Cricetulus griseus: one gene and its partners. The protein of the gene in region 6 interacts with the protein of the main gene of each other region in a pairwise test. Links are inferred from orthologs where the notes say so. Each region holds a gene or a part of one and is shown on either strand. Other genes may lie near its edges.

Region 1 (4,253 bases), on a different chromosome or scaffold from region 6:
CAAACAAAAAGGATAAACAAACTGTAGTATCATCCATACGTCATATGGCAACAAAAGGAGTGGAGTATTGATGCATGCTGCAACGCAGCTGAACCTTTGAAACATTTCCTTCAGTCACAAAAAGCTAGCATCGTCTGTTCCACAGACAAACGCATATTGACAGAAAGTAAAATATTGGTTGTGTGGGTATGGCGGAGTTGGAAAGAAGAGGGGCGTTCTGGTTTGGATGTGAAGCTTCTCCTCAGATTCCTGCTTTGGAGGTTTGGTCCTGATGTGAGCAGAGTTCAGAGGTGGGACTTTTAAGGAAGTGACTGGATGCCAAAAGCTCTGACCAAACCAATGGATTTGCTATATTGGAAGGGGTCTAGTTAGGGGAAAGAGGCCACTGAGTGCATGCTTGGGAGAGATGGCTCTTGTTTGCACTCTTGTTTCTCTCTCTACTTACTGGCCACTATAAGCTAAGCAGCCTTCTGAACTATGTATCCTATGACATGTCTCACCACAAGCCTGTGGGCTACATGAACCATGGACCGAAAGGACTGAAACCAGGGGTCAGAACAGATCTTCCCTCTTTCAAGTTGTTTCTCTCGGGTATTTGTCACAACGATGAAAAGTCTGAGTAATGTAGCTACAGAGACTGTTAGTGGGTTTGTGGTTTCTTCTTAAGATAATAAAAGCCTTCTAAAACTGATTTAATGATGGTTGCATAACTGTGAATATATTAAAAATCCTTGAAATAAAAACTTTTTAGAACAAGCCAGTAATATGCTATATAAACTAATCTTAATAAAATTCATGCCTTAAAAAATTTCTGATTTATAGCTGAAGAGAGCGCTTGCTGCAGAGGACTGGAGTTCAAATCCGGGCATACTCTTTGGATAGCTCACAGCTGCTTGTAACTCCAGCTCCAGGGGATCCAACAGTCTTTCCACAGGCACCTTCACACACACACACACACACACACACACACACACACACACACACACAGAGAGAGAGACGAGAGAGAGAGAGAGAGAGAGAGAGACAGACAGAGACAGAGACAGAGACAGAGACAGGGACAGACAGACGGACAGACACATAACTTTTAAAATCAGTCTGCTTCAGTTCTCAAAGGACTTCTGTAAGTGAAGGTATCAGCTATAATTTCCAGGATATATTTGGCATTTTAACTCCCACACTAAAATCTAACTCAAATTCCTTGGATATTATCATAAATGTGTTTTTTTTTTGCTTGTTTGTTTTTGTTTTGGGGTTTTCCTGGTTGACTCAATTAAAGGGAATCCTTAAAATATTAATGAAGAATGTCAGTGCAGAGTTAGTGTGGCTTTTCCTTCCTTACCTGGGGCACTCGCTGCCATCTTACTCCACCCTTCTAATCTCTAAGGTCTTTCGTCCCAGCTCTGTCTAGCTCACCCTCTAACATTCCCAACACTCACCCCAAAGTTCCAGTGACTGATAATGTCAGTGTTGCTCAAACTAAGTGTGTCACTCCCTAAAAGCAAGCAAAACCTTTTAAGAAGAAGGGGCCTTTGATTAGAATCCAGGCCTTTCTCAGTCATAGGACCTCTGAGTTTCTGTCATCTAATAGCGGGACCCTTCTGTGGCTCCCTCTGCCTCATTCCGGGAAGAAAAAGCATTTATGGGGAGCTGGTTATATTGTAGGTAACAAGAGAACATCCCCTGGGGGACTTCTGGCCTTTCCCAGGTCCCGTCTCGAGTTATCTGACAGGAAGACTAGTTTTGAACCTGATGTGCATGTACCAGCTGTGTCAGCCAAGGACGACACTCTCCTTTCCTCTGTGTAGGACAAGAGTAGTGAACCAGCCACAGTTAATGCCCCTGTTCACATCTCCTAACCTCACCCCCACTTCCCTATAGCAGTGGGGGACAATTCCCTCACTGCTCATGCTTGCCACCCCATGCCCTCTCTCGCCAGGGCCATGGGAGCTCCTGTGGCCTGTTGACATCCATCTCTGAGGCAAGCCAAGGTACCAAAGACTCCCCCTCCCCCCTTTCTGGCCTCAGAGACCGCTTCAGGGAAAAGCTAAAATAAGGTAAGTGTCCTTCCTGTTGGGAGTGCAAAGGTCATTATGCTCATAGATGGCAATAGGGAAGCCAGGAATGCTAAACACACAGGGTTGTCTTTTCAAGAAGCCTGTTTTCCACCCAGAAGGCTGGGGATGGGGTGGCCAATAGCCTAGGTAACCCTGTGTTATCTATAGGGCCAAGCCATACCTCACTCCCCCAAGTTCCCTCAACCAGGAATGGAGGTGATTAATAATCTAGGTGACCTTTGCACTATCTGTATGGCCAAGGGGTTCCCCCAAGCTCCCTCAACCAGGACCAGAGGTGGCTAATAGACTAGTTCACTTCTGTGCTATGTGTATGATGGAGACCACACTAGAATCTCTCCCAGTCCCTTAAAATACCACATGCAGCTTATCTAAAGAGCCCATCTTCATGTACTTTGAGTGAGTTTTGGTGTAGTCACACAGCTTTGTGCACACGGGGTTGTATTATACCAGGAAAATTTTTTCAAGTTACACTGTACTCAAATATGACTAAAATAAATCTGCCTGGTGTCAGACTCTAGAAGTTTGAACCAACACCAGCTCCTGGGTCATGTTGAACCGTATTTCCTTCTTGCCTCACACAGATTGTTACTCTGCTACCTGTGACTGCAGAGACCCCCACACTCCCCCAAGGCTTGCTTTGGAGATTAAAGAATAAAATGAACCTCTCAGTGTGATCAAAACAAAGAGAAACCTGAGTTACCACACCTTTCTCAAGGAAAATTTCTCTTGCACTGGAGGAGACGGGCATTTCCCAATACGGTAACTTTGTCCCTTGGCTGCAGTGAAGAGGCCTGCCAGGGTGGCCAGGACCAACAGCATTGTCACCATCTTGGGTCTGGTGTCCTCAGGAGAGGCCTGGGGAGAAACAACACAGCTGGAGATGTCTGAGTCTCCTGAGGACACACAGTGATGAAGAGTTCTGGAGGGCCTAGTCCCTCAGCTGGCACTCTCCTCAGCATGGAGGAGGAGCTGCGTCTTGCAGCTGCTGTCAGCCTGGCCATCCAGCCACAGTGAGGCCATCACCTCAGAGCACTGGTTCCTCTTGATCTCTTGCTAGATTAGCCTCCTTCGTGGACCCACACCCTCCCATGTCCCATTGAATATTTCTCCAGGTAAGCACCCTGTCCAGTTTCCCTCAGAATTATCCCAGAATCTTGGAAATGTCAGATTCAGTAGGTATTTGTTTCTGGAACATTAACAAAAGTAATGTTCCAGAACAAAAGTAATGTTCCAGAACAAAAGGGAATAGACAAAGAGGTACACCAGAAGGTCAAAGGGTCTGTGAATGAGAAAGCTCAACTCCAAATCATGCACAACATTAACGGTCCTATGAGACTCATAAAGGAGTGCTCCCCAGACCCCGCATTTTACTCTTGCCAACATCTTGCTGGGCTGTCCTATCAATGCACTCTTGGTCCAGGGGCCTTAACCAAGAGCAGTATGTGGGGGACCCAGGATTACTCAGATGGGGTTCCAATTCTGGCTCTGCCACCTACTAAGTGTAACTGTGCAAGTTAGACCTTTGCTTCTTAGCTTATAAAGTAAGATTAATAGTCATGGCCTGTCTCATGAATCTTTGTGAAAATGAAATGGGATAAAAATAAAGGCAGGGGTGGTGGTGAAGGGGTCTATTAGAGAGGCTTAGGTGGGACAGCTCTGGAGTCCACCAATTCAAGACCAGCTCTAATGACATGGGAAGACACCTCCTCTCAGAAAGAGGGAGAGCTGGGGGAAAGTATAAATGTTCAGAGTAGTGGCTGACACCAAGCAGGTGCTCAGTAAATTATCTATCTATCTATCTATCTATCTATCTATCTATCTATCTATCTATCTATATATCTATATATCTAGATATCTATCTATTACTATCACTATTATCCCTGGCTAGACTAGAACTTGCTTTGTAGACTGGGATAGTCTTGAACTCATAGAGATCTCCCCGCCTCTGCCTGTGAGTGCTGGGAATTACAGAGCTGCTGCCTTGCCCAGCTGAATCCTAACATTGTTATTAAGAAGAGCAGAAGCAGGCCAGTATTTCCCAAATGTTTCCCCATCGCCGAGGGTGTTTTTCACAGCGGATGTGCATTGAACCACAGGAGGCCTGTCGCCTAAGTGAGGAATGCAACATTATTTCAGTACAGAAGTCCTCCAGTGGCACAACTGGCTCTGGGGGGTGGG
Region 2 (4,227 bases), on a different chromosome or scaffold from region 6:
AGCTGTTGAAATAACTTGCCCATGATAATATCTGTGGTTGTCCTGTTTAATGATGGGTTTTTGTGGCCCTGTCTGTTCCTTGTACTGTGTTTCAGTCCCCATTTCCCCCTTTTACTTCGTGTGTGTTTATGCAGTAAGTTCACTTGTGGTCCCCAAACCTACGCTGTCTTATAACATTTTCTTTCTTCCTTCTTTTTGATTTTCTTATTCCTATTTAAGATAAAGTCTCACTGTATAGCTAGTTCTGCTGGTCCAGAACTTACTATGTAGACTAGCCTGGCTTCTAACCCACAAAGGATCTCCTTGCCTCTGCCTCATATGTGCTGGAATTAAAGGTGAATGCCATCACTTTCCAGTTCTTTTAATTTTTTGTTGCTGTTTTGGGGACAGGGTTTTGCCATGTAGCCCAGGTTGGCCTAGCACTTGAAATGTAGCCCGGGCTGGCTAGCACTAGTTACATAACTCAGGCTAGTTACATAACTCACAGTAATCCTCCTGCTTTAGCCTTCTAAATCCTGGAATTACAGGTACACACTATCACACCCAGCTTTCTTTCTCATTGCATTTTTGGAATGCCATGTGTATAACTGACCCACAAGACCACCTAGCAGTTGGGTCTGTGACAGGCTGGCCTTGAATAGATTCTCGCCCAGTGGCTTCTCTGTGGGACCCAGAAAATTTCAGAAGTGCTAATTCATCCTCTCATCTGAATCCTTGCCTCCTAGATCATAATGGATGTTCCATTAAGCCTTTTGTTTGTTGGTTTTTGGGTTTTAGTGCTCTTACTCATTTGTTTTTAGTAATTACCACCAAGGTTCAGCTCACTCTGTTGTATGAAAAGTCCATTCCTAGGCCAGTGAGGTGGCTCGGTGGATGAGGGTGTTTACCACCAAGTTTGACAATCTGAGTTCAATCCTTAGGACCCACGAGGTGGCAGGAGACGACAGACTTCCAAAAGTTGTCCCTTGGCCTCCACACACTCTCTGTGGCATGTGCATGTGTATGCCCTGCCCCTCACCCACACACAATGCATGACTAATGTGAAAACAAAAGTCCATTCCTCTAAAAGCAACAGCATTGCTTCCTATAATCCTGCTAGGTACACTGGTGGTAATCCCTCCCCTAGAAGGAGAAAGGCCACAACAATGTTCCTTCACTGCTATAGTGATTCTCCCCGGCCCTCATGGGTCTCCAAACCCCTCCTTGTCATCCCTACTGTGCTCCTCAGTCACCTGAGCATTTTTCTGTGGCTGCTCACTGGCAGCCAAGCAACATTCAGCCTCCTGCCCACTCCCACCGAAAGATGAGTTAAGTTCCTCTCTCCCCTCCCCGGGGGGGCCCTGCAGCGGCCTTCCCAGGATGATGTCAGGCCATGCCATGGCTGTCCTGCACTCATGTGACGATGATGCAATGTGCTCCCCAACCCTGGTCTCTTCCTCAGCATAGCATGGAGGTAAGAGAAGACTCTTATCCCTGTGCTGTTCCTTCTGCCTCAAGCTTTCTCAGCCCTTGATTTCTTTGCTACTCCAGAGGTCCACCTCACTCTTCAGGATCTAACTCGGAATGGGGATGACTGCCCACAGGTGGTGTGCTCTGCGTCCTCCCCTGGTGGCGTGTGTTCTTCCTCTTCAGCACGGCTGCCACATCTTAATGCCTCTCTTCCTTTATGTGATTGTCTGACATGCCTCTGATAAGGAGCTCAGTACCTGACCTGGGTTGGGCCATGGTTGATTGTTACTGAAAGCACAAGGAAGAAAAATCAGTGAATGGAGATAGAGGTGGGGTGCTCTCCTTTCTTGCTTGCTTCAGCCTTAGCTGAATGTAGATACAGTATGTCTAAATGCAAAATGGGCTGAAATTAAAAGCAGTGTGACATGGGAGACGTGGGGCTCTACTGAGTTAAAATTTAGGACTGAAAGCTTCCCTTAAATGTGGGGGAGAACATCTTCCAGCTATAGGGAATGCACATAGTAACAAGAACCTTGTGTGACGGGAAGCTTGCTTCCTTTGCTCTTGACTGGGATGGAGTTAGTGTGATTTTTTCCCCCCTTGAGCAATTTCTAGTGTGCAGTACACCAACCTCAAGGGCAACAAACATGGAATCTCATGAGCCTGACAGGGCTGGAGCATTCAGAAGGGCAGAAGAGTTACATAGTTGCTGCTGTGCCTTCTTCTGAAGCAGAGATCATTCTGCTTCTCCTCACAGAAGCCCTGGCCAGCTGCTTACCCACACGTCCCTAACACAGCCCATAGCACTCGGGGAGGATTCCCTGCCACACAGTGAAGACATTCAGCTAAGCCACAGTTTCCTTGACCCAAGGAGGAAAGCCTTGTGTGTGGTTTGGGGTTGGGGATGTGGATGAGCAAGCGCAGATTTTTTCCCCATTGCCCAGTGGCTCTAAATTGCAACCTCTCTTTTCATTTTCCATTATGCCTCAAACACATCTGTGCCAAAACTAGACGAATGGATTCTGTCTGGGAGGATGATCCAGACAGCTATAAATTAGAGTTTGTGTTCAGAGATTCCAAAAATGTGGCCTCGTGGTAGGGTGTCCCTGAGACTAGTCACCTCCTCCATAGTCTGTGTGGTGGCTGCTGGTTTGGGCCCAGGGCCTCCGTCAATAGATTTTTGCTTTGTGTTTGGAAACTGTCTTTCCATTAAGGCACTAGAGAGGCATGAAAGCAGGGAAGCCTGTGAGGTTTGCTGGGCAGACTCATCCCAGGCAGCCCCAGGCATTTCTAGGGACAGGTTTAACCGAGGACAGTGCTCCTCCCTGCACATAATAGCCAGGGACCCCAAGGCTGGCACCTTCAAGAAGACTCTCCAGTTCCCATATTGGACAAAAAAGCTAGTATGCAATGCTTCTCAGAAAGCTATTTTTTTCAAGCCTAGAAGACTGATGCATAATTGATGGAGAGCCCTTAGAAGACAGAAGGGAAGCATCACCTGCAATTCCACCCTTAAAGATAAATAATGTTATGCCTTAGCATGACTTCATCTCATGTTTCCACATCAGCCTCTTCTTTTAAAAACCCTTTCAAAAGACAGTTGAGGCCAGCTGTTTTAGCCGCCCCATAAATTACCCCGTTAGTGTCCTCTCTAAGGGCTGGGAAGCCTTAGTTATTCCACATGGGAGTAGCCAGGGGGTAGAGCCCTCACTAAAGGCAGGCCTGCATAGTTCTTAAGAAACCAGTCACACAGGGACTTGGCTCTGGGAAACAAGAGACGAAGAGGAGGAAAGCCCTCATAAATATAGCCAGGTAACCTTGCCAGGGTAGCACACATCCCTCTCAAGCAGCCCTACAGGAGAGAAGGAACCTGCCCAGGAAGGCCTCTGGCCTAATCCCCCTGGATTTTTCCTTATTACACCTCTGCTCTGCATTCTCTCCTTGACTTCTGCTGCCAGCATCTTGGGGTGCTCTCCTCTTTTCAGATAAGAGCAGACCCTCACTGTCTGGTGAAAGGCTAGGGCTGCCCAACAGTAACTAAAGAGTTAGAGATGCAAGATGCTCTTTTTACATCTCTGCTGATTTCCCCATAGTGCTTTGTACTCACAAGGTACTCTGTAAATAACTATTAATTGATTGATACAGCGATATTCAAGAGTGGTGTTGTAGAGAAAGCACCTTGGCTGGAGCCTGCTGGCCTGCAGTTGCGACAGTCCTGCGATTGACATGCAGGGCTGCCAGCTTAGACATGGAGCCTGTGACAGCCTTCAGCCTCAGGAGAGGAAGCCTGGTGATGACTCTACCAGCCGCCAGCCTGCCCAGCCTCTGCCTGTGCCAACCACTCAGCCTCTCCATGAGCCACATGGCAATACAGACCCTGCTTTTTCAGAAAAATATTTTTTCCTTTCTTGCTTTCCATGGAAACTCAAAATAGCAACAACAACCAAAAAAAAAAAAAAAAACCTTTCCCCGTCTGCAAAACCATGCCTGGGCACAGGCAGGGCAGTGGGCACCATGTAGGAATCAAGAGAGGGGTCACAGGAGTCTCCGAACAGAGTTCTAGTTGGAAACTTTGTCATGAAGTGTAGGTGGGCTCCCAGGTTGGTGTGGGTTTGTTTGGGTTTTCTTTCTTTTTCTTTTTTCTTTTGTGTGTGTGTGTGTGTGTGTGTGTGTGTGTGTGTGTGTGTGTGTGTGTTTTGTTTTGGTGGTTTTTTTTTTTTTTTTCTAATTTAGAAGGTGGCTTCCCCCAGGTCTTAGAGTTCTTCTTGCTCTTGGTGA
Region 3 (3,629 bases), on a different chromosome or scaffold from region 6:
ACACCGAGAGTACTGCAGCTTAGTTAAAGGAATATTAGAGCTGGGCTCAAAGGCTAACAGACAAGGGAGCAGGGCTGGGAGCATCTACAAGTCAGTCACTGTGGTCCTTTTAACACACATAAATGACAATTCCTTAGGTAACCCTTCCTCTCGGAACTGCAGAAATAACACATAAGGTCAGATAAATGAAATTATTCCTAATATGTAAGCTCTATGGAGAACTAGGATGCCACACATTTGCTAAATCAAGTATCAAAGACAACACACTTAGAAAGAAAAAAGGTTGTTTTCTTTTTTTTTAGATAATGGTTTTAATGGAATTAAATGAGATGAAAAGACAGTGAAGCCCTGTTTGCTACTTACATGAAAAGAAGACTTTAAAAAATAATCACTGCACAAAATACAAGGGGAGGGCTATGCTGTGGCTTTAAATTTCTCCCCATGCTTTTCTTGACTGCTCAAGAACAAATTGAAGTTTCCACAACAAAGCTGTTCTCGAAATGCCGAATGGCAAAACAGTTACTGGCTTCACGCTTCTGAATACCTGTTGGGGAAGACAAAGGGTTTGGTTTTTAAAGGTTTTGTTTGGTTCTTCAGTGATAACTACTCACATTAATTCTCAGTTTCTCTTTAAAGAAGTATGCCACGCCACATCCACCCACAATTTCCATTCTTTAAAGCTGTTCTCCACTGCATCTTTTCAGACACCACAGCAACTGGTAACCGTGCTTTACAAACCGCTTGCAGATGTATGAGCGTGAAGGTTTGGGGAATGTCCTAGTTATGTGTGTTGCACACACACACACACTCCCATGTGTGCTTGCAGAATTGCACACCAGGACAGTTGGACATCATTCTAGCAAACTGGTTTTAGAAAATTATGAACCAAGATAGTAACTTATATGTAAGAAACCAAGTGGTGGGTTTCAGATGACTCAGCAGCCTGAGCTGAGAACAATGTCATTACAAGTTATGAGAAGAGGCCAAGAAAGCACTTTTACTGGGTGATGTAATCCCCAAGAAATCAGACTGCAGTGTCGCTGATGGCACTGTGGACTTTGTGTATCATCGCACACACTTTTGTTTTGCATTTGTAATGGGCACATGCTGCTACTCTTACTGTTCAGGGGGAAAAGCAAGGCTACGTGCCTGGCCAAAGCTGCATGGTTATATCAATGCTCTGGATTCGTCACCTACATTTCTTGCTAAGTCACCTGGCTATGGCTTGTCCTCAGTATGATCCAAAAGGTGGATGGCCCCGTGAGAATTCAGATCCCTGAGAATCCAAGTGAAATGCTGAAGAGAGACCTCTGAATAATGAGACCCCCAAACCTGACTTTTCTACATGCAGGTTGATGGGTGGGCATCTCAAGGCAATGGCATTTTGTGCTGACTGACTTTATCTGGGAGAAGTGGCTCTGGGATTAAGATGATTCTAAGTTCTGGAAATATGAGTCAAGTGTGACTCAGTACCCCTTTCATTTCTCATCTGTGGCAGCAACATCAATCACAATACCTAAGTGCCATAGGAACTATGCGATTGTCTTTACCTCTAATACTTTCTCTGCGTTGCAGCTTGTAGGTTTCCTTGTCATGACACAGTCGATAAATGAAGAAGCCCAGGTGGTCCACGTTTTCGATGCGGTCGGTAATCACCATGTGCTCATGAATAAGGTATGACTGGGGCAAGTAGGTTCCAGCCTACAGTGGGAAAATGTGATGCAAAACTTTCAAAACACAAACTGAGCAAACAAGAAAGGCAGACAAAGCCTCGGGTGATAGTTTTAAAATGGGGTTTGCGAATATTTTTCCATTTTATAGATCTAGTTTTGATTTTTGAATTGGGGTCTCACTTTGTTGCCCAAGCCAATCTTCATTCAATTCCCGAACTCAGATCATTGTTCTGCCTCAACCTCCCAAGAAGACAGGGCTGTGTCCAGGCACGTGTCACTGTACCCAGCAATACAGTTTTGTTACAATTCAGCCATGCCCATCACTGAGGCATCAGAATTAAGTAGCTGGTTAATATTTATTTTCTAGTCCTTCAGGAAAATTTAAATGTGATGAAAAAAATTTTTAATTTTTTAAAAATTTCCATTTTATTTATCATTTACTATGTGCATGTGTACAGTGTGTGTGCATGTGTAGTGTCTCTGTGTCAGTGTGTTTGTATTATAGTGTGCATGTGTAGTGTTTGTGTCAGTGTGTTTGTATTATAGTGTGGATGTGTAGTGTCTCTGTGTCAGTGTGTTTGTATTACAGTGTGGATGTATAGTGTCTCTCTGTGTGAATAATATGTGCATGTGTACTGTCTCATGCATGTGTAGTATCTGTAATGCAGTGTGTGTATGTACAGTGTATGCAAGTATACTGTCTCTGTGTGTGTGCATGTGTAGTGTCCGTGTGTGCACTGTTTGTATATGTGTAACGTGCACATGTACACAGTATGTGCTATGTGCAGGTGCATGTGTATAGAATGTGGAGGCCTGAGCATGGATGTTGGGGATCACTTTCTGGAGCTGCTTCTTTCCTCCCACTGTGGGTTTTACGGATTGAGCGCACACTGTCAGGCTTGCATAGCAAACACTCTCACCGGCTGGGCTCTCTCCAGCCCATTTTGAATGCTTTAAATTTTTTTCTTTTTTTCTTCTTCTGGTTTTTTGAGACAGAGTTTCTCTGTGTAGCCCTGGCTATCCTAGAACTAACTCTGTAGACTAGGTTGGCTTCAAACTCACAGAGATCCATCTTCCTCTACCTCCGGAGTGCTGGGATTAAAGTCATACGCCGCCACCACCTGGCTAAAAATGTTTTTAACTTCAAAATTTAAAGCATTAAAAATTAAACATAGCACAAGTGTCAGCACTTTGTTGTAAAACCCTTGGCTACACTCCAGGAGAGTGAGCTCCGAGAAGGCTAACTTTTCAAAGAGGAATTCCATGACACAGTAAACACTTGATACCTTGATGTTAATAAGTAGCTCCAACAGGTTTCTGGGTGGCATAACGATGGACGTGTTCAGAGGAATCACGTAGCACTTGTCCAGGTTAAGGTCCAGATAAGCAGTGAGTTTCTGGAGAAAAGATATATCTCAGTCAGATGAGTGTACTGGAGATACATAGAATGCTACTGGCAAGATGGGCCCACTTTAGAATTTATAAGTCACTTGTATCTCAGTAAGAACTGGGTGCGGTCAGCAGGCAAGCCACAGACAGAGAGGTATGGGAAGGCCAGGCCTCAGAGGGAAAGGAACCTAAATCTATTTTTGTTAACCCCATGAGACAGCACTTCACTGTGTGGACCAGGATGGCCTCAAAGTTTTGGTCCTCCAGTCTCAGCCTCCCCAGTGCTGGCACAAGACACATGCTCTGAGTCACCAACTCTCCCCATCCTCTCTCTTAAGTACCAACTAAACCCTAGATAGAAGAATTTAGCAAATATTAAAACTGCAAATACCCTGGAGAGCCCTATGCTGTCCACAATCCTGGACACAGACAGGCTCACCTTGTTAAAGTCATGCACAATGTTGGCAGGGTCACTGTCTGCAAACTCTGGAACAGGCACACTGATGAATTCAACCTCATCTTCCTCAAAGATCTTAATGTTCTCTTCAATTGTCTGATAGCGAGCAG
Region 4 (4,338 bases), about 300 Mb from region 6:
AAAAGATTTATTTACAGCCAGCCTTGGTGGTGAACAATTTTAATCCCAGCACTCAGGAGGCTGAGTCAGGCTGATCTCTGTGAGTTGGAGGCCAGTTTGGTCTAGAGTGATTTCCAGGACAACCAGGGCTGTTAAATAGAAACTCTGTCTCGAAAAACCAATATAATAATAATGAATCTTTAAAAAGTATTAACTTAAGCCAGGCGGTGATGGTGCACCCCTATAATCCCAGCACTCGGGAGGCAGAGACAGGTGGATCTCTATGAGTTCGAGACCAGCCTGATCTACAAGAGTTAGTTCCAGGACAGCCTCCAAAGCCACAGAGAAACCCTGTCTCGAAAAAAAAAACAAAAGATTTACTTTTTTATGAGTGTGAGCCTATGTGATTGTATGCATACTACCTTTCTGCAGGCACCTTCGCAAGTCAGAATAGGCTGGTCAGATCTCCTGGAGTTGGAGTTACAGATAGTTATGAATCACATACTGGATGTCGGTACTGGCAACCAAACTCTAGTCCTCTGCAAGAACAGCAGGTTCTCTTTATATATTAATCACTGAGAATTCTCTCTAGGCGTTATTATTATTATTATTGTTGTTGTTGTTGTTGTTAGAAATTTATTTTTTGAGACAGGGTCTCATTCTTGTCTAGTCTTGTCTAGCCCTTACTATGTAGCCTAAGTTGGTCTTAAATTCTAGGTAATTCTCTTGCCTCAGCCTTCCAAGTACAAGGAGTACATGAGCCACCATGCCTTGGTAGGCAGTCTTCTCTAAAAACATGCAGGAAGTAATGTGCTGAGGCCCAGGTGGGAGCCAGTAGGCAGGGTGGTAGCAGATGAGGTCATTGAAGTAGCAAAAAGCCCTGGGACAGATGCATTTGTATGCCATTAGAAATATTTTGACTGCCATCTTTAGTGAAAAGGGAAGCCACTGGGGGGCTGCAGGACATAATATTGAGGCTGAAGGAAACTTAACAAACATCCCAAGATAAAGCAGTTCCTAGGTAGAAGGAGGTGGGAATTGAGCTCCAGGACTGCAGTTTTAAACTCTGCGTTCTCACTGAACCTTTAGCCTTCTTCATGTGGGCACTGGCTGCTGCTCTCCTATGAGTTCACACAAAGAAAGTGGGACTCGGAGGGAGAAGTAGGGAGGCTAGGCTAAACTGGTAAAGTGCTGGGTAAGACTGGAACCTCAATCTATGTGCAGCCGGGAGTCCAAGTTTTTTACACCACACCGCCTCCCTCAGGTGTCTGGACAACATTGACTGCGGGCCTGGGAGGTCTTTAAGGGAGATGCCTGGAGTAGCCTGGGCTTAGGGCAGTGGAGTTCATTAGCAAGAGGTAGCCGCTGGCTCTCAGGGACTGCAGGCATCCTTCCGAGGTACCCCGTGGTGGAAAACAGAGAAAATACGTTTTCATTTGGGATGACCCCGCAGGTATCCGTGGGTTGGAGGAGCGAAACAGCCCCAGAGCCACCGCCACGAGCTGCAGCCCCTTCCCCACTGGCTCTTCAGCGCCAGGGCCTGCGGGGTAAGGCGGAGGGGCGTGGCTTTCTGCAACCCGCCCCCGTCACGTGACAGGGCCATCATGGCGGCGGCCACGGGCCAGCCCGGCTCCCGGAAGCAGGCTGTGAGGGGCGGGCGCGCTGCTAGAATCCGAACGGAGCCGGAGCCAGTGCGGGGAGGGCGGCCCGGCGGCCTGGTGCCGGACGTGTCCGGAGCGTCCCCGCAGACCGGGGCAGCAGGTGAGACGGGAGCCGGGCCAAGTGCGAGCGGGTGAGGGACGCTAGGTTGGGGCTAGGGGGCGCAGGGGGTTAGCGTGACCCAGGGTCGGGGGAACCTGCCATGCACGCGCGTGACCGTGAAGCAATTGGAGAGGCCCTGCGCGGGCGGAAGGGATGCTCGGGATAGATGTGGAGACGCTTGAGCTCCAGGACTGGCTCATCGGCGAGGATGGGAGGTAACAGAAGAAGCGTGCAGAAGCTATCGTGGGGAAGGGCAGCAGCCCCTTTATAACCTGCGGGACCGGGATTACTGAAAGGAGTCCCACTTTGCTGTGCCAGGCCAGGGTGGGGCGAGTGCTCTGGCCTCTCCCCCATCTCACCCTTCCCTGCCCCACAGAGTCCTAGGTGACAACCACTCCTCCCACCCACCCGACTGGTCCCTCCGGTCTCAGCTCTGGGCGAGTGGAATTGACACTGGAGTTGGGTGGAGCTGTGCTACCTGGATTATGGATGTGACTATAACCAGTGTTCTCTTCCCCAGGTCGTCCGGGGGCCCACCATGCTGGTGACTGCCTATTTGTCTTTTGTGGGCCTCCTGGCCTCCTGCCTGGGCCTGGAATTGTCAAGATGCCGAGCCAAGCCCCCTGGAAGGGCTTGCAGCAACCCCTCCTTCCTTCAGTTTCAACTAGACTTCTATCAAGTCTACTTTCTGGCCCTGGCAGCAGACTGGCTCCAAGCCCCCTACCTATATAAACTCTATCAGCATTACCACTTCTTGGAGGGTCAGATTGCTATCCTCTACGTTTGTGGCCTTGCCTCCACAGTCCTCTTTGGCCTGGTGGCCTCCTCCCTTGTGGACTGGCTGGGTCGTAAGAAGTCTTGTGTCCTTTTCTCCCTCACTTACTCTCTGTGTTGCTTAACCAAGCTCTCTCAAGACTACTTTGTGCTGCTGGTGGGCCGAGCACTTGGTGGGCTGTCTACTGCTCTCCTATTCTCAGCCTTTGAGGCCTGGTACATCCATGAGCACGTGGAACGGCATGACTTCCCTGCCGAGTGGATCCCAGCTACCTTTGCCAGAGCTGCCTTCTGGAACCATGTGCTGGCCGTGGCAGCAGGTGTGGCAGCTGAGGCTGTGGCTAGTTGGATGGGGCTGGGACCTGTAGCACCCTTTGTGGCTGCCATCCCTCTTCTGGCTCTGGCAGGGGCCTTGGCCCTTCGAAACTGGGGAGAGAATTATGACCGTCAGCGTGCCTTCTCCAAGACTTGTGCTGGAGGCTTGCGCTGCCTTCTGTCTGACCGCCGTGTGTTGCTGCTGGGCATCATACAAGCCCTGTTTGAGAGTGTCATCTTCATCTTTGTCTTCCTCTGGACTCCTGTGCTGGACCCACATGGGGCCCCACTGGGCATTGTGTTCTCCAGCTTCATGGCTGCCAGCCTGCTGGGTTCTTCCCTGTACCGAATTGCTACCTCCAAGAGGTACCACCTTCAACCCATGCACTTACTTTCCCTTGCTGTCCTCATTGTTGTCTTCTCTCTCTTCATGTTGACTTTCTCTACCAGCCCGGGCCAAGAAAATCCCGTGGAATCCTTCATCGCTTTTCTACTTATTGAGTTGGCCTGTGGGCTCTACTTTCCCAGCATGAGCTTCCTTCGAAGAAAAGTGATCCCCGAGACAGAGCAGGCTGGGGTTCTCAACTGGTTCCGAGTGCCCCTGCACTTACTAGCCTGTCTAGGGCTCCTTGTCCTACATGACAGTGATCGAAAAACGGGCACTAGGAATATGTTCAGTATATGTTCTGCCGTCATGGTGATGACTCTGTTGGCAGTGGTGGGACTCTTCACGGTGGTCAGACATGATGCTGAGTTGCGGGTGCCCTCACCCACGGGGGAGCCCTATGCCCCCGAGCTTTGATTTTTCCAGGGCAAGGTGCCTGGAATGGACTCTTGAATCTCACTTACCCACCTGTATGACTTTGTGACTGACTGTTCTGCAGCCCCTCTTGCCAGTGCTTTGTATTGGGAAGAACATGGGGGGGATGGACTGGAAAGGTGCCAAAAGTTGACTGTGTTAGTCCTTTTCCCCTTGCTGTATAAAAATAAACACTTTTAATGGATCATTGATTTGATTTACTGTACCCACCTCAGTTTCTGGTGAGGGGGCAACTGGAGATTTTGAGGTAGAGCCGGGATTACCAGCAAACACTTTATATTTCTGATGTCTTCAAGTCTGTCTCCAGTCAATCAGAGCTGTGAAATGTCTCTCAGCAGAACTGGGTAGAGATGTCCAGAGGCTAATAAAGTCTCCATTCTCTTGCCTGGGACAAGTACTCTATCCAGTTGTCAAGCAAAACCCTTGATCTACATGCAGGGGAAGATGATCTCTTGAAGTTGTTACATGGTGCTGAGATCTGAACTCTAGTCTTCATGATTATGTAGCAAGTGCTTTCAACCACTGAGCCATCTCTCTAGCTCAAAGGGGAAGATGATCTTTGAGCATGTGGCCAGTGCCCTATATGTCAGGTCATTGAACAAAGATTCCAGAGGTTTGGGTACTTTACTGCAGTGATTACTCCATTAGGATAAGGTCTTTTCTCTAGGAATAAGCTTGCTGATCTGAAC
Region 5 (3,629 bases), on a different chromosome or scaffold from region 6:
AAGCAATCTCAGGTAGAGCCAGCTCTGCCAGTGTTTGAGGCAAATGAAAAGACAGGGGTGCATTCAGCTGTGCCCATGTGCCGACAGTCTTCACTAATGGAAGAAGCAAAAGTGTTCACTGAGAGTGTAGCTATTAAAAGAACTCACTTAAAAAAAAAAAAAAACCAGTGGGTAGCATTTCCTGTTTGTTTTTTGTGGAGATGAAAGGAGGATTTTGTTGGAAGTTATAAGAACAAAGCTCATGGAAATGTAGATATCCGTAAGTTATCTACACAATGGTTATAAGGTTATTGTCTTTCTTGCACAGATAGTTTAATAGTTCAGATTTTTTTTCCCACCTCTGTATCTCAAGTACCTGACAGATCAGGTAGGAGTGAGAGCAAACATCCAGACATGATGTGACTTGACAACAAATGAGAGAATCACTAATCCATTTGCTAGGACAGGCTGCTGGGATTTTGTTGTTGTGTAACAGTGTTGTGTTTGGATTTTTGTTCAATTCATGTCCCCAAATAGAGACTTTACTGAAACTATAAGTTAGATGCTCAGTACATATTAGTTGAATTGGATTAATTTGCTTCAGGAAGTCTGTTGTCACTTTGCATGTATCTCCCCCCTACCCCAACCCACTTCATTTTAACAGAACCAATAAGAGCTAACATAAAACAAAAGACTTAGGCAAAGCACATGTCAGCATTTGGAGAGCTGTTTGCTAAACTCCATATCCTGCACCATTTCTTCTCCAGGTGCCTTGCCTCATCATCCTCACATATGGTCTCTGAACTTCACTGCTCACAGGAACTGGATGACTTTCCTGCCTGTCGCCCTTATTAAATGGCTTAGTGCACTGCACTCAGAGCCAAGGATATCTCTGGCACTGTGTGCTGTTAGCTGGGCTGGTTGCGGATGGTTGAAAGAGATCATACCCGCTTGGCTTTGACCTTTCTGATTTCCAGCTGCCCCAGTTTTGTTAATGATAGTCATGTAAAACAGTTTTATGTGTGCACTGAAATTTGGAAGAACATGTGAAAGGGGGAAACTCCCTACAGAAGAGGAGGAAAAATAAAGGGAGAACAGTTTTGTAAGGAAGTATGTGACCTGTTATCGGGTGACACCCATACAGGATGGATGGTCAAGGTCCTGACAGGTTGTGTGGTGGAGAATTCTGCGGATGCTGTGGCTCTTCTTCTTTATCTTCTAGTGCATGATTCCTTTTCAGTTGTCAGTCAATCAATACCTGGCTGAAATCCAGTAAATATTTCAACTAGAAATTTAATCCAGTTGCCTATGCAGGGTTCCTGCTAATTAAAATTTGTGCTTGATTAATTATATGTGGTCCTCTGTCACTGCCATCATACTGTTATCACACATAACCACCAAAGTAGAAGAAGAGTAAGGGAACCATCTTGCTCATCCTGTGAAGCATTTGCTTGAATTTTGTGTATCTTCCCACAGTATTTTCTCTTGATCACATTTTTTTTTCTGGTTTTTCAAGACAGGGCTTCTTCTCTATGTAGCTTTGTAAACCTGGCTGGCCTCGAACTCACAGAGATCCACCTGCCTCTGCCTCCCGAGTGCTGGGATTAAAGGCGTGCACCACCATTGCCTGACTTGATCACGTTTTTTAAAATAGGTGACAAATCAATCACACTTCCTGTTATAAGCAGCAGAAAAGGCACACTGAGACCTGCAGAGTTCCTGGTGGATCTAGGCTAGGTTCAGAAGCTAAGTGTAGCGCTAGGAACAGTGACCCATATTGCATGTAGGTCTAGTCAAACACATCCGCCTCTGAGCAGCTCCCCTTGCCAACAAGATGAGACACCAGAAGTCTTGCTCTTTGAACTTGGTATGCTTCAACTGCCACTAGTAAGGAGAGAAAACAATCATGTTGGTAGCACTTAAAGTACTATGTAAGCATAGAATCCATATATAAAACCACACATGCAATTTGTATGGCACTTAGTTATCTACTCATCAGGTCTACTGACATTGTAGCCTCCTTTTGTTGAAAGCAAAGAGAAAACAAGAATATTGCTATTGAACCTTCCATGGTTGGCATCCCTAACCATTCCTTGGGCTGTTCTGTATACTTGTAGAACACTATCCCTGTGGTGGACATTAACACTGCCATTGTGTGTGACGGTAAATCTTTCCGCCTGCCGCTCGAGTTCTACCCGTCACGTGGGTGGCCAAAATAACACACAGAGATTAATATTAGGTACAATGCTGCTGGCCAATGATTAGGATTTCTTAATCTATATATTTTATAAAGACTTATCTGATTGGATGCCAGTGGCAGGTGTCTTGCTGGGATCACATGGCAGCTCCAGAGCAGAGAGGAGGAGGAAGCAGAAGAGGGTGACTTCCTGTTTGTCCCTGCTTATATTCTGAGTCTGCCTGCTACGTCACTTCCTGCCTGGATCAAAAGACTACTACATTTCCCAGAATCCTCCTTGACTCCTAGAGTCCCACCTATCTTTCTGCCTAATTGGCTGAACAGTGCTTTATTCAACAACCAGTAAGATAAACATGCACAGAAGGACGTGCCCCATCAATTGTGTATGTTAATAATCAAGTGCAGTTTCTTTTTAGTGTTTTTCTTACTTTAGTGATCTGCATCCGGACCCTCTGGGTTGTTTATAACCATTTTGGATGGCTCCACTCTGCTGTTTTGACCCTTGTGTTAATCACACAATGATTGCATATATTATTAGGAAGAGATGGTTTTAGTTACCAATAGGAAAATTGGACCAATCATTTTAAAGACAATAATTTTAAAGAATAATAAAATGTTACTGCATTGCTCAAATTCTGCATAACTATTGACATTTTTATATTTGTAGATAATATCCTTCAACAGCGTTTAAAAACTGCCATCAGGTTGGCCATCGTCCAGAAAAAAGCCTGTGTTTCTCACACCTTGGTATTTTAGTATCTGCTATATTGGGTGACACCCATCTCTCTCTGATTTGTTTTCTATAGCTGGCGTGACCTTGACAACAGATTGCCTTGAAGACAGCCGTCTTACATGCTTCTGGGGGTGCAGTGTCCAAAGGCTCTATGAAGCTCTTCAGAAGCACAGGTACTGCTTCAGGATAAGCACCCCACAAGCGTTAGAAGAGGCCCTGTACAGCGACTATCTCCACCGGGAACAGTATTTGTATCCTTTTCCCAGATACACCCACTGGCACAGAAACAGGAGGCTGTGGATACAGTAAAGTGTCACCAAGTTATTGACTCTTTAAAATATTTTTGTTCTTTTGGCAATTTGCCTTTACGTATTCAAAAGTATTAAAAAGCACAGCAAAGAAGAAATATATTGCCAATTACCGAGAGATACTGAAATTGAAGACTTTGGTCCAGTTCCCAGATCTCGCTATCCGTTGGTAGCTCTGTTGACCCTGGCTGATGAGGATGATCGGGAAATTTATGATATTGTAAGTAATTGAAGCATCTGGAATGCCTTACCTTTACCAGATTTGGGTGACTCTTAATTATTTTTGAAATAGGAAAAAATAATTTCTGAAAACATTTTTTTTGGACTTGGACACACATGTCTTGAAAATTTAAAACATAGATATATCCCTGTTTAATTTTTGTATCTGTAACACACCTTCAGAGTATGATGG
Region 6 (4,376 bases):
CCACCTCCCACCTGGTAAACAGAAATCCCTGCCTCCCAGTGATGGTGGCCTCAGGAAGTCTTGGGCTTAGGCAGTAGAATAAAGAAAGTGGAGTCCCAGATGTCAGCAGTTCTAGCCGAAGCCCAGGACTGTGGCCTGAAGTTAGTCTGTCGTCTCTGGGTAAAAGAAGCCTCTCTGATTACACAGCAATAAGGGACCTCACCCCAAAACAAAGGCAGCTACTTGCTGCCAACTTCTCATGTTTTTTACCTGTTCAACTGTAGCTGCAACCCTCAACCCCTAATGCTGCCACCAATTCCTAACATTAATCCTGACTTTAATTTCTTTCCTAATTCCCCATTCTGACATTTCATCTCTTTCATAGCAGACACCCATACTAATCCAGCTTTTAATTTTAGGCCTAAATCCCTCAACTTTTACCCTAAATACTGACTCCTAATCCTAAAGCTCATTTTTTACTTGCTTTTAATTCACCTTTTCACTGTTTATTCTTAATACTAACCCTGACAATGGCCTTTAGTACCTAAACGGGCTTCTAAGCCAATTCCTGTGGTTGATCCTTAACCTGATTCGGTATCCTGATCATGCTGATCCCTCCAGAAAACAAAATAATGACCTCAAACTAAATGTCACCTACACGAAACAGACTTGACTAAAGCAGCTAATGTTTAAAATTTACTCGAGCTTCGTAACCTCTGAAGGGATCCTCACTTCCTAAACCCGACCGCACCTAATCCCAAACTCACCCAAAGCTTTCCTAACCACATACTCACTATCTGCTAACACCAAAGGCCATCCCCGCCCAGTGCCTCAATGCCACCCCATTCCTCACCCTCCCCCCCAAACCTAGTCGAGGGAGAGAACAGCCTGCTCCCACGAAAGGGGCCTGCCTCGCGACACACGGCTAGCTTAATTCCAAACCCAAAACGAAACGCATTGGACGCTGACCTCCCCAACAGGACCGGACACAGGATATGCAGGAGGATCGGGGGCCCCGCCCGCCGCTTCCCGGGCTGGCCTGGCCCCGCAGCCCCACCTAGAAGCTCCGGCCCGGCCCGCCTGGCCTACCTGCGCTGCCCGGCTCTGCGCCCCGCCCGCCGGCCCGCTACCCGCTCGTTCTCCGGGTGGCTCTGGGGCTCCGGCCTCGCCCTCCCTTCGACACTCTGGTCCACTTCCGTCCTGGAAATGTCTCCCACCCGCCGGCGGCGCCCTGGGCCCGCGCTCTATGGTCGCAAAGACTTCAGGAAGCTGCTCTAGCCGCAGGTCTCGATGCTCGGGCGCCCGCAAAGCCTGGCCGCCCCTCCCCGGCAGGAAGCGAGGGTGCGGCGCGCTGGAGAGATCGCCCGAACCAAGCTGGTGTTCCCTTTTAGACTCTTCCTTTTTCTAGCTCGCGGCGAAGGCGGAGCCGGGTCCCTAGAATCCCCGCCCTGGGGTGTGGGAAGCTGTAGGGACGTCCCTATAATTTGCATAGCCCCCGGGACGTGGCGCAGCACACGAGCCACTTCCGAGTTGGAAGGAACTCCAAGTCCCAGGATGCCTTGGGGCTATGTGCATCACTTCCGTTGTGTTGGAAGCTGAGTAGAACAGAAGCTGGGAGGTGGCTGTGGTTTTAGTGTGACCGCAGGCCTTCAGCCTTGTAGCCCGGAGTAGAGTGACTAAGGTAAGTCGAGCCGATTTGACAGTCAGACCGAGGGGTCGTGTCTAAGGTTCGGAGATTGCATCTGTGTACAGGGATTTCTATCTATAGATATCCCAAATGGATCCTGGTGGTCAGGACCTTCTAGCTTTGGATCCTGGTGATCAGGACCTGCTGGGCTTCCTGCTAGAGGAAAACGGAGATTTGTGGGCTGCGACCGAGCAGGATGTGGAGGCTCCGCTGGACTTGGAGCTGCCGCCTTCCGAGGTGGGTGGGCGTTCTGAGTGGGGAAGCTAAGCGACGTCCGTGAGACCCAAGGGTACAAAGATAAATCAAGGCCTGTGAATTTGTTAGAACTCTGTGCAAGCACTGAGCGACTGGGAGGTAGAGGATTTACTGAGCTCTCTGCTCAGTCCCTCGGCATCGCTGGATGTTCTCAGCTCCTCCATCTCTTCTATTCGACATGACCACAACTACTCCCTCCCACAGGAACATGTGTCCATAGATCTAGGTGAGTGTGGAATGTTAAGTTATGGGGGAGGAAAGAGCTCACTGGCCTAGCTAGCCCTACTTTTTTCTCCCTACTTTGCAGATATTGGGAGCTTTGAAAAGGAGGGGTTCCGCGTGACTCCAATGCCTGTGGGGGATACAGTTACAGAGCAGGTACTGGACTTGAGTTTTCAGGATTATCCCACCTTTCTCGACTGAGGCCAAGGTTCCTCCCATTCTGCTCCCACATCCCCATGCAACTTTTGCTCTCCACTATTTCCTACAACCTTAGGAGATTTCTAGGCTGATGCTGACTGAGGAAGAGAAGAAGCTCTTGGAGAAGGAGGGGCTTAGTCTGCCCTCAGCACTTCCTCTCACAAAGGTAAGGTTCCTATTGGTGGAGTAAAAGCTGGAGGGGCAGCCTGGCCCCTTCCAGCACTTGGGAGGCAGAGGCAGGTGGATCTCTGAGTTCCAGGACAGCCAAGGCTGCACAGAGAAACCCTGTCTCAAAAAACAAACAAAACAAACAAACAAAAACAAGCAAGCAAACAACAATGACAACAACAACAACAAAACTAGAGGGGGATTACATGACCCAAGTAGGCAAATTCAGTTTATTTCATCTCAATAACTTGAAAAAGGACTGAGGTCAGAATCTAATCTAAGCACACTTGCTGCTATTGGGAAGCTGGGGCAGGTAGATAAATAGGCTAGATTCTAGGGCAGTTCTTGACCCTGTAGGGCTTACCTAAATTGTGGTGTTCCTTTCAAAATTACCAGTGTGTGGCTTAGTTGGGAAAGGCCCTGCTGCCAGGTCTATCCCCAGGACTCACATGATGGAAAGAGAGAACTGACTCCTACGAGCTTTCTGATCTCCAAACAAGCCCACACCCACATACAAAAATATAATTTTTGAATATCAACTAACATGAGAATAGAGCCTTGAGAAGGACGACAAATGGAGGGCTCTTACAGATTTCATTGTGGTCGTGGTACTCCATATCTTGCTCACGGTAGAGTTTGGGAGGCTGAACCAGTCTAACAATAACAGTTGTCAAAGCTGGGCATGGTGGCTCACACCTCCACAGTCCTAGCACTCTGGATGCAGAGGCAGAAAGGTCCTCACGAGTTCAAAGCTACTTCCTGAGTGCTGGGCTTACAGGCATATACTACTACATCTAGCTTTTATGGTAAACATTTTTATGTCATTTGCCTTTTTAATGTTTTCATGGTATCTTTTGTTATGTAGATGTTTATTTAGGGCAGGAGAATCAGGAGTTAAAAGGCCAGACTTAGCGTCATGCCAAGTTTAGGCAAGCAGAGGCTACGTGAGACACTGTCTCCTATCCCTCTGCCACCATTACAAGATGAGTGAGCGATACAGTAGTTTTAGTAGGAAGGAAAATAGAATTTGGAAATTATCATCAGTGGTGCTGTCCCTAGTACAGTAACTGTCTTTTCCTCCTTAGTCCCCCACCCATTGAGATTTGAATAAAGTGCTCTAACACTGAGCTACAGCCTGCAGCCCTGTTTGTTGAGAAAGGGTCTTGTGAGCCCAGGCTGGGCTGGCCTCAGACTATGTAGTGGGTAAGGAATGCCTTTGAATTGATCCTCCTGCTTTTAACTCCTGAGGACTAGATTACAAGTGAATGACATCATTCTTGGCTAGTGCCTAGGCTGTATCAGAGAATATGAGAATTAACACTTTATTTAGTTTCAATTTCTGAAAAAAAGTTGAAGTGCTTTAAAGTAAAGATATGTTCTATATAGCCTCAAAAATTCTAAGTAAATCCTACCGATAGAAATTATAAGAAAATTGATGTTGATTTTAGGATAAGGATGGATTTTTGTTATTGTTACATAAGACATAGTCTTATGTAGCTCAGGCTGGCCTCAAACTCTAGCCAAGGATGGTCTTGAAGTCCTGATCTCCTCCCTCTCCCCGCCAAGTGTGGAGATTACAGGCATGTGCTACCACACCTAGATTAGGAGGAATTTGTTTTTTAATTAACTAAATTAGAGGCTGGAAAGATGACCTCAGTGGTTTAGAGCACTTTGTACTCTTTCACAAGGCCCAAGTTCAAGTCTCAGCACCCATATGACAGCTCACAACTGTTTGTGACTCCACTTCCAGGAGATCTGACTCCCTCTTCTGACCTATGTGGGCACCAGGCAGACACATTATACACAGACATACTATAGGCAAAACACCCATACACATAAAAACAATATCAAAAACATAGTCTGGCTT
Region 7 (3,881 bases), on a different chromosome or scaffold from region 6:
TTCTGAGTTCTTTAATAGAAAGAGAAATCAAAAAAAAAAATATTCCTTATCTTGGTTTAAGAAGTACAGGGAGATCTGGTAGCCTACACATATATACAGGATATAAACATATTTATATGTTCTATGTACACAGTGGATGGTAACTTATTCATTATAAATAGAATTAATTTAGACTCTACAAAAATAATCATTTAGGATAGGCACATGCAAGCCAGGACACGTAAACCTATTTATAAAATACATCTCTATAGATTTTTGTTTGTTTTTAAATATAAATGTTGCTATTTAGCTGTCGGCAAAATGATTGGAATGCAAACGGAGAGTCCCCAGTTACATATAAAATCTGCCTCCATCCACTGCAGTACACTGCTTCAAGTATTTGTCCCCAGTGTGTGATGTCCAGGTGACTGCATCTTCTTTGAATTACAGGTATACATCTCATTTGCCCAGGGATTAGACACCCACCCCCAGAGCCCAAAGTTCCCTGTTTTATTGTTAACAGTAGATATTTCTTAAAATAACATCATCTTGGCTTCAACCTTCTTGTAAAAATGGACACAGTCAAGGCTCTGCCTCATGTCCGGGGTCTGATGGCCCACGCTCAGTGGTTCACAGAGCCATCCTCGTAGGGTGGCGACTGGGAAGCCACAAAAGGCTCATTTTGCTTCTGATCCTCCTTCAGGCCGGCTGCCTGCTCAGTGATGGAAGAGAAGGACAGCTGGTCATGCTCCATGATGTGAACTTGATCTTCATCCTTGTCTTTCTTCACGTAGAACATTTTCCTGAATTTCTTCAGCTCATGGAGTTCACAGAAGGTTTCCAGGACGACCAACATGGCAATGAGTCCGAGGAGAAGGTAACCTGCAAGGGAGAAAACACAGCAGCAGCTCGGTTTGACCTAGTTACCATAAAATCAAGACCCAATGACTTATTCTCCTCCCACGCCACACATAAGAGTTCTCCAGCAGGTCCACTGCCAGTTTATTTCAAGGGATGTTTGAAGTCTACAGCTCATGGAGGAATGCAAAGAAGAATGAAATGACTTAGCCATCAATGAACTTGGATTAGTCACAATTGCAGGCTTCAATTGCATATGTGAGCTTCACGATAGCAGGAGGGTATGCCCATGCATATGTGTACAGAGGCCCAAGGACACCACTCTCTGCTTTAGTTCTTGAGACAAAGTCTCTCACTAAACTTGGAGCTAGGCTGGCAGCCAGCAAGCCTTAGCAATCATTCTATCTCCACCTCAGCTGGCACTAAGATGCAGGTGGACAGCCATACCCTGCTTTTTATGTGGGAGCTGGGAATTCAAACTCATGTCTTCATGCATACTGTGCTCACGGTTACCTGCTGAGCCATCTCCCCAGTCCTGGCTTCAATTTTTTTAAGAACACTCTTTATTTGATATCATACATAAACCACACCTCTCAGCAATAAAAGGCAGCATCCTTGACAAAGGGCATCCTAATTAAATCGGCATTGTCAAGAATAGACAGTTTAACCATGGCCTGTAACAGGCCAGTGAACACAAACAGAAGCACAGACATCTTCTGCTTGGTTCTAAGGCCGTAAGAGCATTTCCCCAGTATTTAAACACATCCATATGCCCAGTTTCATAAATCTAAGTATGAGACCATCCAATTGGTTTTGCAGTGACACCACCATCTTTGTAGAAAGTTGAATATTACTGATTGGGGGAGAGCAGTGTTTACGCAACTGGAATTGTTATTTTAAAAGAGATCATATCCACTTTACCACCAGTCAGTTTTACCTAAATCTGGACTTTCCAACACAAAACATTGTTGGCCATTCATGATCTGAGTTCTGATGTATGAATTAAATTATGGCACACATTAAAAGCCATGAGACTTTTTTGTAATAAATAAGGCAGGTGGTATTACATGTTAGTAAAATTTTTAAGTTAAGCCATTAGGTTTACTTTCTCTTCTTTCTTCTTAGTTCCAGCAAAGATCATTTTTTTTCCAACTTTTTTCATTTGAATTGGAAACAGGATTGTTTTACATGACAATCCCAGTTCCCTTCTCCCATCTGTCCTCCCCTATCCCTCCAACTAAAACCTTATCTGTCACATATCTTTTCTGCTCCCCCTGGATGGTGAGGCCTTCCATAGGGTGTCATCAGAGTCTTTCGTATCCTTTGGGATAGGGCCTAGGCCCACACCCGTGTGTCTTGTTCTAGGGATGTACTTTTGGGATTCTCCAAATACACCATCAGGGAATCTTCTCCCTGGATGATGCCTTTGGTCTTGTTGGCATCTGTGTGAGAGAATCCAGCAGCCTGACAGACCATGGAGTTGGTCCAGTCTTATGTTTGTCTCCCTTTTCCACAGTGTGCCAGTGGCCACACTTCTGAACAAAAATCTTCTTGTCTTTCTCAACAGCAGCCATTTTTAATTTGCTCCCTGCTGCTCAACACCACTAATGCTATGCTAAGCTGAACACCCTGACCTCTCCTGGTTTCAATTTTTAGAGGAGTCAATTGTTGCTAATGTGGCTTTGCCTAAGTCAAATGACCCACGATAGTGACATCTTTCTTCCTCGGCCTTAGAATCAGAGAGTCACAGAAAGTTTTTCACATCTTGTGAGCATCTTTCTGAGCACTCAATATTCTTGTCATAATTTCTGCATCTTAAACCTCCTACGATGTCACTGTCAGCATCTGGGCATGTGGATGATTCACTATGTAACTACAATTTTCTCGTTCTTGAAGGATAACTGCTATTTCTTGGAACTTGTGATGGGCAAATAGTCATTTTAAGTCAGTTTCAATTTTTTTTTTTAAGAAATCAGTTTTCAGAAAAACAAAAAGATAAACTCACAGAGAGGGATGCCAAAGTCCTCATTTTATGCCCCCCCCCCCGTAGTAAAATGTGAAAGGAGGATTTCCAGAAAGCACACAGATGAGGAACGTTAAAATTTGCATTGTAGGAGACTGGACCTGGATGTCCTTGGAGGACAAAGCTTTGTTGTCTCTGGATTTGACTGTTGGTTATGACAGTAAGCTGGTGCCACAGGGACTTTCTTGTGTTTAGCAGTATCATTGCTAGTAAGTAGACACATTCACTCTCTCTTTGGTTATAATTTAACCTGACTCTGGAATATTGCCAGAAGTGCCCAGGGGGTTTCAAGCGAGCTGTGGGATTTTTATCCTACCTACACCTTGGAACATTCATTCCTTAGATATTCAAGTTCTGAACACTCAGAGCATAAAATCCGTCCTGGCTGACTGCCTGAGAAACACAGTCCACACTGTAACAAAGGCCCAGGTTATGGGAGGATTCATTGTTTTGTGGAAAGCTGAGGGAGATCATGTATTGGGAGACCGAAGAAGACAATTTACACACAGGAAAGTTGAACTAGCAAACACAACCACGGGGACATTCTACTCCTCCCGTTCACAAAGAAATTAGAAAGCAAAGTGAAAATTAAAGAATTGCCTGCTAGCTTGAAAGAAAAGTCAAGATGATGTCTATCTATATTGCTATCAAATTCACATGCAAAATGTCTAGAACTCTTTTGGTCAATGCCACCCAAAGAGGATGGGAACTCAGATACCAGTGACTGTGTGGACTTGTGTTCCATTTGGGGACCTCAGAGTTGTGTTCTGTAACACACAAAAGAAGTGTGTACATTTGGGGCCGGTAATCCTATTTCTTGGAGAGATCCCAACTAAAAGAAACACAAATACAAAAAGATCTCCACACTGAGGAGATTTGCCATGTTACTGAATTAGAGGCAAGCTAGACATCAGCAAGTGAGGCAGGTGGGCTGTGAGATGGACCCTGAGTCACACACACACTCTGAAACAATAAAGAGTATGAGACCCTCCTGCAGGGCTCTTTGGTAAATATTTGCTAT

Evidence for each region.
Region 1: the proteins of Creb3 (region 6) and Apod interact in binary tests that used the Homo sapiens proteins (3 or more experiments, as listed by UniProt). The two-hybrid records come from large-scale screens. The link is inferred for Cricetulus griseus from reciprocal best matches to the Homo sapiens genes CREB3 and APOD.
Region 2: the proteins of Creb3 (region 6) and Tspan2 interact in a two-hybrid assay, tested with the Homo sapiens proteins (2 studies listed by BioGRID and IntAct). The two-hybrid records come from large-scale screens. The link is inferred for Cricetulus griseus from reciprocal best matches to the Homo sapiens genes CREB3 and TSPAN2.
Region 3: the proteins of Creb3 (region 6) and Itm2b interact in a two-hybrid assay, tested with the Homo sapiens proteins (2 studies listed by BioGRID and IntAct). The two-hybrid records come from large-scale screens. The link is inferred for Cricetulus griseus from reciprocal best matches to the Homo sapiens genes CREB3 and ITM2B.
Region 4: the proteins of Creb3 (region 6) and Mfsd5 interact in a two-hybrid assay, tested with the Homo sapiens proteins (2 studies listed by BioGRID and IntAct). The two-hybrid records come from large-scale screens. The link is inferred for Cricetulus griseus from reciprocal best matches to the Homo sapiens genes CREB3 and SLC61A1.
Region 5: the proteins of Creb3 (region 6) and Cgrrf1 interact in a two-hybrid assay, tested with the Homo sapiens proteins (2 studies listed by BioGRID and IntAct). The two-hybrid records come from large-scale screens. The link is inferred for Cricetulus griseus from reciprocal best matches to the Homo sapiens genes CREB3 and CGRRF1.
Region 7: the proteins of Creb3 (region 6) and Kcnk1 interact in a two-hybrid assay, tested with the Homo sapiens proteins (2 studies listed by BioGRID and IntAct). The two-hybrid records come from large-scale screens. The link is inferred for Cricetulus griseus from reciprocal best matches to the Homo sapiens genes CREB3 and KCNK1.

Annotation. Positions count from the first base shown.
Region 1 is NC_048597.1:58,142,604-58,146,856, reverse strand, and holds the start of Apod (apolipoprotein D), read right to left. Parts: upstream 2,918-4,253; 5' UTR 2,904-2,917; coding exon 2,781-2,903; intron 1-2,780. UniProt on the Homo sapiens protein: APOD occurs in the macromolecular complex with lecithin-cholesterol acyltransferase. It is probably involved in the transport and binding of bilin. Appears to be able to transport a variety of ligands in a number of different contexts.
Region 2 is NW_023276806.1:54,211,355-54,215,581, reverse strand, and holds the start of Tspan2 (tetraspanin-2), read left to right. Parts: upstream 1-1,343; 5' UTR 1,344-1,372; coding exon 1,373-1,453; intron 1,454-4,227. UniProt on the Homo sapiens protein: May play a role in signalling in oligodendrocytes in the early stages of their terminal differentiation into myelin-forming glia and may also function in stabilizing the mature sheath.
Region 3 is NW_023276807.1:227,861,309-227,864,937, forward strand, and holds part of Itm2b (integral membrane protein 2B), read right to left. Parts: coding exon 3,502-3,629; intron 3,071-3,501; coding exon 2,960-3,070; intron 1,702-2,959; coding exon 1,551-1,701; intron 545-1,550; coding exon 459-544; 3' UTR 1-458. UniProt on the Homo sapiens protein: Plays a regulatory role in the processing of the amyloid-beta A4 precursor protein (APP) and acts as an inhibitor of the amyloid-beta peptide aggregation and fibrils deposition. Plays a role in the induction of neurite outgrowth.
Region 4 is NC_048595.1:398,659,176-398,663,513, forward strand, and holds Mfsd5 (molybdate-anion transporter), read left to right. Parts: upstream 1-1,567; 5' UTR 1,568-1,740; intron 1,741-1,831; exon of another isoform or gene 1,832-1,955; intron 1,956-2,260; 5' UTR 2,261-2,278; coding exon 2,279-3,631; 3' UTR 3,632-3,836; downstream 3,837-4,338. UniProt on the Homo sapiens protein: Mediates high-affinity intracellular uptake of the rare oligo-element molybdenum.
Region 5 is NW_023276807.1:202,871,074-202,874,702, forward strand, and holds part of Cgrrf1 (cell growth regulator with RING finger domain protein 1), read left to right. Parts: intron 1-2,982; coding exon 2,983-3,160; intron 3,161-3,289; coding exon 3,290-3,437; intron 3,438-3,629. UniProt on the Homo sapiens protein: Able to inhibit growth in several cell lines.
Region 6 is NC_048595.1:99,953,696-99,958,071, reverse strand, and holds the start of Creb3 (cyclic AMP-responsive element-binding protein 3), read left to right. Parts: upstream 1-1,500; 5' UTR 1,501-1,660; intron 1,661-1,747; 5' UTR 1,748-1,756; coding exon 1,757-1,903; intron 1,904-1,990; coding exon 1,991-2,147; intron 2,148-2,228; coding exon 2,229-2,299; intron 2,300-2,417; coding exon 2,418-2,507; intron 2,508-4,376. UniProt on the Homo sapiens protein: Endoplasmic reticulum (ER)-bound sequence-specific transcription factor that directly binds DNA and activates transcription. Plays a role in the unfolded protein response (UPR), promoting cell survival versus ER stress-induced apoptotic cell death.
Region 7 is NC_048596.1:202,840,360-202,844,240, reverse strand, and holds the end of Kcnk1 (potassium channel subfamily K member 1), read right to left. Parts: intron 862-3,881; coding exon 602-861; downstream 1-601. UniProt on the Homo sapiens protein: Ion channel that contributes to passive transmembrane potassium transport and to the regulation of the resting membrane potential in brain astrocytes, but also in kidney and in other tissues.